2 linked regions of the Oryctolagus cuniculus genome follow. The protein of the gene in region 1 purifies or fractionates together with the protein of each later gene. This does not show direct contact. Links are inferred from orthologs where the notes say so. Each region holds a gene or a part of one and is shown on either strand. Other genes may lie near its edges.

Evidence for each region.
Region 2: the proteins of PSME4 (region 1) and PSMA7 purify together in Homo sapiens (affinity purification with mass spectrometry; 4 studies listed by BioGRID and IntAct, with this or other methods). This does not show direct contact. The link is inferred for Oryctolagus cuniculus from reciprocal best matches to the Homo sapiens genes PSME4 and PSMA7.

What each region holds. Positions count from the first base shown.
Region 1 is NC_091433.1:148,786,393-148,790,038, reverse strand, and holds part of PSME4 (proteasome activator complex subunit 4), read right to left. Parts: intron 2,597-3,646; coding exon 2,504-2,596; intron 1,766-2,503; coding exon 1,500-1,765; intron 1-1,499. UniProt on the Homo sapiens protein: Associated component of the proteasome that specifically recognizes acetylated histones and promotes ATP- and ubiquitin-independent degradation of core histones during spermatogenesis and DNA damage response.
Region 2 is NC_091442.1:1,220,526-1,224,271, reverse strand, and holds the start of PSMA7 (proteasome subunit alpha type-7), read right to left. Parts: upstream 2,386-3,746; 5' UTR 2,270-2,385; coding exon 2,174-2,269; intron 440-2,173; coding exon 313-439; intron 1-312. Other genes in the region: SS18L1 (calcium-responsive transactivator), read left to right, coding at 2,731-2,799.

The DNA.
Region 1 (3,646 bases):
TAAGAGCCAATCCACTCTTAGTAATTTTACTTCTGAGAATCTTAAGTCTAGAATACAGTCATTTCAAATTATTCTTACACAGCAAAGGTAAGCAATAAAGGAAAGTGCATTATATTTCAGATGGGGGAAAAAGGAGGATTTATAACTAGGATGAAAAACATTCAAACCTAAGTTAATGTTAGTTGAAGTTTTTTCGACTAAAAATGTACCTCATTATTCATGATCAGCAGAAAAACACAGAAACAGGCAAAACAGCTATGAAGACAGGAGAAGGTCCTCCCTCCCAGGGAGGATCAAGGAAGCTACCACTGACTGCTAGCTTCTGCCATCCGAAGGAAGCCAAGCAGCAAAGATTACCGAGGGCTGAAAACAGAAGAAACTGCCTACCTCCCATGATCCATTTTTTAAGTAAACTGTACACGCTGGAAGAGTTTTAGTGCCATAATATGCACACATAAAAAACAGAGGTTGAGAAAGTGAGGTACAATCTAACTTAAATATTTATGTCAAGACAGACACAGTGAGACAGAACAAGTGAAATTTATAGATAATGGAGACCCACTTGGGTCAAGATCTTTAACAAGGTAACCTATCTCAAGTAAATGGGATCAATACTTACCCTGTTTCAACAGTGATTAGAAAATATGTTATTTGAATTCTTCTACTAGGAACCCTGGACAAACTGTTATGGAACTCAATTGTTAGATCCTTATGAGCTCTATAAATCAACATCCTTCCTCTACTTTTGACAAAGGCATTTTGAGAGAAGTCATAGGCTCAAGTTTGGGTAACAGAGGTCTAACAGAAAGCTTAAGTAGTTTGCTCTTGAATGCTCAAAAACTGAACGGCAGGAATTAAGATGCCCATGTCCTACAGCAGATTGTGTGGGCTAGGTTGCTGGTTTCTGCTGATTCCAGCTTCCTGCTAATGCAGACCCTGGGAGGCAGTGGTGATGGCTCAAAAAAACTGGATTCCTGACATCCACAGAGGAGATCTGAATTGAGTTCCTGGCTCTTAGCTTCTGTCCCAGCCAGAAGCCAATGTGTACTTTTGAGAAGTATACTAGCAGATATGATATGTGTGTGTGTGTGTGTGCCTGCCTCTCAATTTTTTTTTTTAAATTGAAAGCTCTCTCTCAAGAAGCATAAGACTATACTGTGATAATGATTGGCAAGTAGAGGTCTATTTTTATTTGTCTCAATATACAAAACTAAACAAATGCAATGAAATTCACACTGTAAAAAATATACTTAAAATTACATAATTCAGGAAAATAATAGGTAATGAACTTTTCTTCTGTATCACTGAGTCAATGCTATGTTCTCAAAGCTGATCAATGAATTTCTCCTCTATGAACAGAAATAAGCATGGTGAAACAAAAACAGAAGCCATAACGAAAAGACAAGCAACCAAGTAGAAGAGGCCAGGAAAAGGAACAGATATCAAGAATAATCTAACTATGAAGGGGCTTCAATAAAAACATGCAAAACTACACTTACCTTTCAAGTACAGGGGGTATTACTAACTCAGGTCTCATGAGTGCAAGATTCTGCAAAGCCTGGGCTGCTTCTAGACTACCAGTTTTGCTAAACATAGCCAAGAGGACAGGCTGAATAATGCATTGTACAAAGTCTGTAACATCTTGATCAGTGAGCTTATGGCTATCAGGCACAGGAGTCAACCAAGAGGGCTTCTTGTATCTTTCACGATGCAATCTTCTAACAACACTGTTTGGCAACCGCTGAAGTAGTTTCATTAACTTGTTCTGGGAACACAGAAGCAAAAGGCTCTAGCTAGTTTCCTTTCTCTAAGAGAAAGGATTTTAAACGAACACCTCTTATTAAATCTACATGATACACTTAGATAGAATAAACATACTTTTACCAAGGAATTACTGAAAGTTAACTATTGAGTTGGAAGTTCCAGTTCTAAAAGAACTTCTTCTAGCACCTCTTAAATTTTCCATTTTATGAAAAGCCATTTTAACCAGGCTACTTAAATAAAGCAAAACCACAAAACATTGCTGGTAAGTTAATATTGAAAAGATGATTCTATGATTTTGTGGCATTTTTGCTATTTTGTTGCCAAAATGTTACATTCTGTCACTAATTACCACATCAATATTGTCATAATTTATCTCCATACATTCTATGAAACAGTAAATGAATGTGAACTGAATCACTTAATACAGAACATAGTTTAAAATGTGGAAAGAATCAAAAGATAAGTTTATTTTACTGCAGAAAAATCATAGTTCTCATAATATGCATTATCTATGAACTTTTGGAAGAAAAAAATTTATGTATTGGATTTTTACACCAAAATATGCCCATCTTTTAATTCCATTTTCCACAAACTTTTTGAAGTACCCCTTCCAGCCAAAGTTTATATTTTCACATGAAGCAAACAAAATGCTTTTACAAGTCATAGAATAGACAATTTATACGTATGGCTGTATCTTGAAAATCTTCAAGTACTACAGTACAAAAATAAACATACTCACCAGCCAACGCCCATTATTTGAAGGATGGTAAAAAGATGTGATGCTGTTAAACAAACCAGCTAAGTGTTTTTGCACTAGCTTACTTGGTCCACCCTGTCCAGAAAAAGAGTAAAAATGTCAGTAGCCATATTATATTGTAAAACTGAAAGGAACAACAGGGTCAAGCTTGTACATAAATCTCTGTAAAACAGTACACATTCGTCCTCTTATTCTCTGAAAAAGACTCTACAACAATTCCCAGATGAACCACATGCAAGTCAATTTAAAACATTTTACTAAAAATAAGAGCAACTTACTTAAACCAAATTAGAAAATTTTAAAAGGTATCTTTGCACTTAGCATATTTTATGGTCAAGTTACTTAGTAAAATTTATCATTAAGCAACAATGGTAACAACAAATTAAAAGTAGTTCTTAAATGGCTCAATAAGTGAATTTCTCATTACATGAAACAGAATACTCACACTCACACAAATGTACTCTAGTATTTTATAATAACCTCTAAATGTTTAACACTATCAAACTAATGTGGCCACATTATGACTTGACAGATTTTTTCTTGATCTACTGACAAAACATATTCTATTAAAATAACCAAACAAAAACAAACAAAACAAACAACAGCACAATCTGGGAGAAAAAGCAAGTTTTCATCCTATCAAGTTGATTAGTCCCAGGATACAACACGACTTGGTCTCTAAAACCTCCTGTCTCATGATCATCTGTCAAGAAACAGCACAGATGTAAAATAAAATGTCAGCCTACAAGAGAAATATGCCTTCCTGTTGAAATGAAATGCATGTTCATGTTTCCCAATCTAGTCCCTAGAACTGGGCAACCACTCAAAGAGCTCCTAATTCCACAACAAATTAACTCATACAACTTTCAAATTTTTGACACTGTAATTGGCAACACTGATATTTTTTAAAAAATTTTTCAAATTTAACATTAAATAAAGTTCACAATGAGAACTGTGTGAGAAAGCACAGCAAAATTCACTCAATCAAGGCTGAAACTAAACATCTAATCTTGTGGTCTCCAAAACACAAGTTTCAATTCACTGCTTATGTAACAGAGCAAACATCCACATGTTTTTTGCTTTTATTGAATATTACTGAATATTGAGGAAAAATAAGATTTCCCT
Region 2 (3,746 bases), on another chromosome or scaffold:
GGGACCAGCAGCCTCCGGGGCTCTTCTGAGAACCAGGTCAGGGAGCCGCCCCGCGCCCTGGGGGAGCGCAGGGGCCGAGTGCGTGCCTCCCCGTCACGGGGCAGGTGTACTGCTGCTGGCCACGGGCAGCCCTGTCTGCCCTCTGCATGCCACAGGTCAGGCGGGGCTCGTGTTTGGGGGACAGAAAAACCCCCAAGTTAACTCCTGAAGTCCGAATCCACTGACGTCTGGCAACAGCCCGGGGCCCCGCGTCCCTCTGCACAGCCAGGTTCCACCGGGACCCTGAGTGCGGCCCTGGCCCCGGTCGCGCACCTGCGAACGCCATGCAGACGTTGTCGTCCAACGCGCAGATCTTGCGCACGGTCCTTTCATCCTGCAGCTTGGCCACCGACTTCTTCTCCACGCCAAGGACGACGATGTCTCTCCCCCGGACGCCAACCTCCAATGAAAACCACGGCCCGCATGAGAAACTGCGGAGGCGGGGCGCCAGGAGCACACGGCAACACGGTCCTGGGGCGTGGCCGGCAGCCGCCACGCGGAGCTGTGCTCACCCGCGCAGCCCACAGCTCACAGCCCGACAGCCCGGGCCCGGCACTGCGGGTAGGGACCTGCCGTGTGGGCCGGAGTCTGAACAGGGGCGCCGGCCGCAGGCGAGCTGTGAAGCCACCTCCCGGCACGAGGGAGGGGCCGCCTGCTGTCAGCCGTCGCCGGACACCGCCCGCCAAGGCAACCACGGGTGGGATTCAAAATCCGATAAATCACGGCAGGCTAATTATGAAGTGGACAATTCCGTACGACCGCAAACGGCCCGGCAGAGACAGGTTCCCCACCCCTGCTCAGAGGGCTGGGCTGGCAAGGCTGCAGACCATGGACCCACGCAGGGTCCCGGCTCCGGCCTAGACTGGCACCCACTGTCGCGGGCCCAAGGGGCGTGAGCAGTATGAAGGCCTCCCCGTCTCCTAACCAGGCGTGGGAGCCGCTTCGGCATGGGACGCCGAGCCCCCATCAGAGTCGGGGCGCAGCTCCCACCCCCCTCCTGGGAGACCCGGACTAAGCTCCTGGCTGGTGGCGGTCAGGGGCCTCTGGGGAGTCAGCCGGCGGGTGGGGGCTCTGCCTCTCACACACACCGGAACCTCAGGAATCGGCCATCCCACACGTCAATCAAACAGCCTAGAAACCAACCGCAGCAATCGGTGGGCGCCGCGCGTGCCCGCCCTCCAGCACAGGGCCTTTCAGCCCCGCCGGCCAGTGCCGACCTGGGCAGCCGCCCCCGCCCACGGCATGCCAGCAGCAGTCTCGCTCCACACGGCAGTGCCCGCGGGCCGAGGGGCACTGGCCCGGTTTCCAGGGAGGTCCCGGGTGCCGACTCGGCCAGACGCTCCGGGAGCCGCAGCTGTGCGTCCGCCCGAGCGAGCGTGGGTGGGGAGGAGGTCAGAGTTGGACTTGGGACCCTAATTGCAGGCGGTCACACGAGCCAGGAAGTGGCGACCTCAGAATCCGCGTCGTGGCCCTGAACGTCTAGGATTCTAAGGGACAAAAACGTCGCGCGCCACGGCGCTGTCTGCGAGGGGGCAGACGCTGCCCAGGCACCGCACCCCCGGGGGCCTGGCCCGGGGCCCCCCAGCCTCCTGTGAGAAACACCACCCCTCCTCCACATGCGCGCGCGCTCCCGAGGTGCGCCCAGGTGCTGCTGGTGGGAACGAGACAGGCGCCTGAGCCCCGAGCTCAACGTGCCCACCTGGGCAGGCAGTGGCCTGGCATCACTCCGGGAGCCGCCAGGACAGTCCCCGTGCGTCCGGCTGGCCCGCCGCCGGCAGGTGCAGGGCACGGCCCGCTCCCGTACCGGAAAGCACGCACCCAGAGGCACCCCGGGCTACTGGCCTGGCCCCTCACCCGCGGCCTCCGACGCCATGCGCGCCCCAGCGCCGCCATCGGCCCCGCCCGGGCTGCGGCTCCCTTCTCTGCGCCACGGAGCCGGCGCCCCGCGGGTTCCCAGCGGCCCGCTGGCCACACGCACGGCCGAAGGGACGCCGCGCCGCCGTCCCGGGAGCAGCGGTCCGCAGCCCGCGCCCCCGGCCGAGCCCAGGCCCGCCGCCCGCCGCCGCGCCCGGGCCCCCGGCGGCGCCCCTGGCCCGGGCCCCCAGCGCGCGCAGGCCCCGGCGCGGCGGCTCACCGCGGTCGAGCCCTTCTTAACGGCCTCCTGCGCGTACTCCACTTGGAACAGGTGGCCGTCGGGCGAGAAGACGGTGATGGCGCGGTCGTAGCTCATGCCGGCGGCCGCGGCGCGGGCCCAGGGCCACCCTCTCCGCCGCTCTCAAAAGCGCACACTCACGGCCGGCGCGCGCGCCCTGCGCCGCGCCCACGCTGCGCGTCGGTGACGTCACGGCGTCGGGCGGACGTGCGGGCGCGCGGCGGGGCGGGGCGGGGCCGGGCCTAACCACGGGCGGCGGGGCGGGGGGGGCGGCGCGGGGCGCGGCGGAGCGGGCGCGGGGCGCCGGCCGGCCGCCGGGGGGCGCCACGCGAGGCGCGGCCTCGGAGGGGGCGGCGGCGGCGGGAGGCGGCGCGGCGGGCGCGGCGGCGCGCGCGGGGCGGCGGGGCGGGCGAGCCCACGGCGCGGCGTCCCCCGCGCCTCCCGCCCCCCGGCGACTGCGGAGAATGAGCTCTTCGGGCGGCCGAGCGCAGCCGGGGAATAAGCCCTGATGGTCACGGGCTGAGCCCCGCGTCGCCGCAATGTCCGTGGCCTTCGCGTCCGCCCGGCCGAGGGGCAAAGGGGAGGTCACGCAGCAGACCATTCAGAAGGTGCGTGGGGCCGGGGCGCGAGGCGCGGGCACGCGCGGGCTGGGGCGCGGGCAGCCGGCGGGCGCGGGGCGCGAACAAAGCCGGGGCGCAGCCGAGCGGCCCCGCGCCCGCCGTCCGCAGCGGCGCTCCCCGGGGGGCCCACGCCCACTCTGCCGGAGGCGCGCGGAGACCCGCGGGCGCGGGCGAGGGCGCGTGGCGTCGGCCGCCTGGGAGGAGAGGGCGGCGGCGGCGCCCGTGTCGGGGGTCCGGGTCCCGAGCGCCGCTGGCCACGCGCGAGGGAGTGCGGGCCGGCCTCGGGGACGCCCCTCGGCGAGGCGCGAGCCCCCAGGGCACAAAGGACGCGGCGCGGGCTTGGGCGCCCCGCAGCGCACGCGGGTGCCCCGCGCCCGGGAACCCGGCTGTGCTGTGCAGCCCCGCGCCTCGGCGTGAGTCGGGCCGCGCGGGTGCGGGGGAGCGGGCACGTTCCGTTCTCGGCTTCCCCGCCCGACAGATAAGGAAGGAAGCTGGCGTTCGCCGCGCCCCTCTGCACGCGCCCGGCGCCTCGCGCGGCTGCGTGTGTTCCTCTGCTGGACTCTGTGGGTTCGCCGGGAGGGGTGCGCCCGCCTCTGGGGACGTGGTCCTCGGGCTGTCACCAAGATGGAGACCGATCTTGTCGCCACGGGATTGTCACGAGTGGGGGGCCTTGGGCAGCGCCGAGCCGGGGATGGTGACGGACGGGAGCCTCCGAGGGTGTGGAGTCGCAGGTGCTGTTTGAGAGCCTTGCGAATCTTTTAATGTGCGCTTTCTCTTTGAGATTTATTTGACACACAGAGTTGGAGAGGTAGGGAGAGGTCTTCCATCCGCTGGTTCAGTCCCCAGATGGCCGAAACGGCCGGAGCTGCGCCCAAAGCCGGGAGCCTGGGGCTTTATCTGAGTCGGCTCCCCGGGTGCAGGGCCCAAGGACGTGG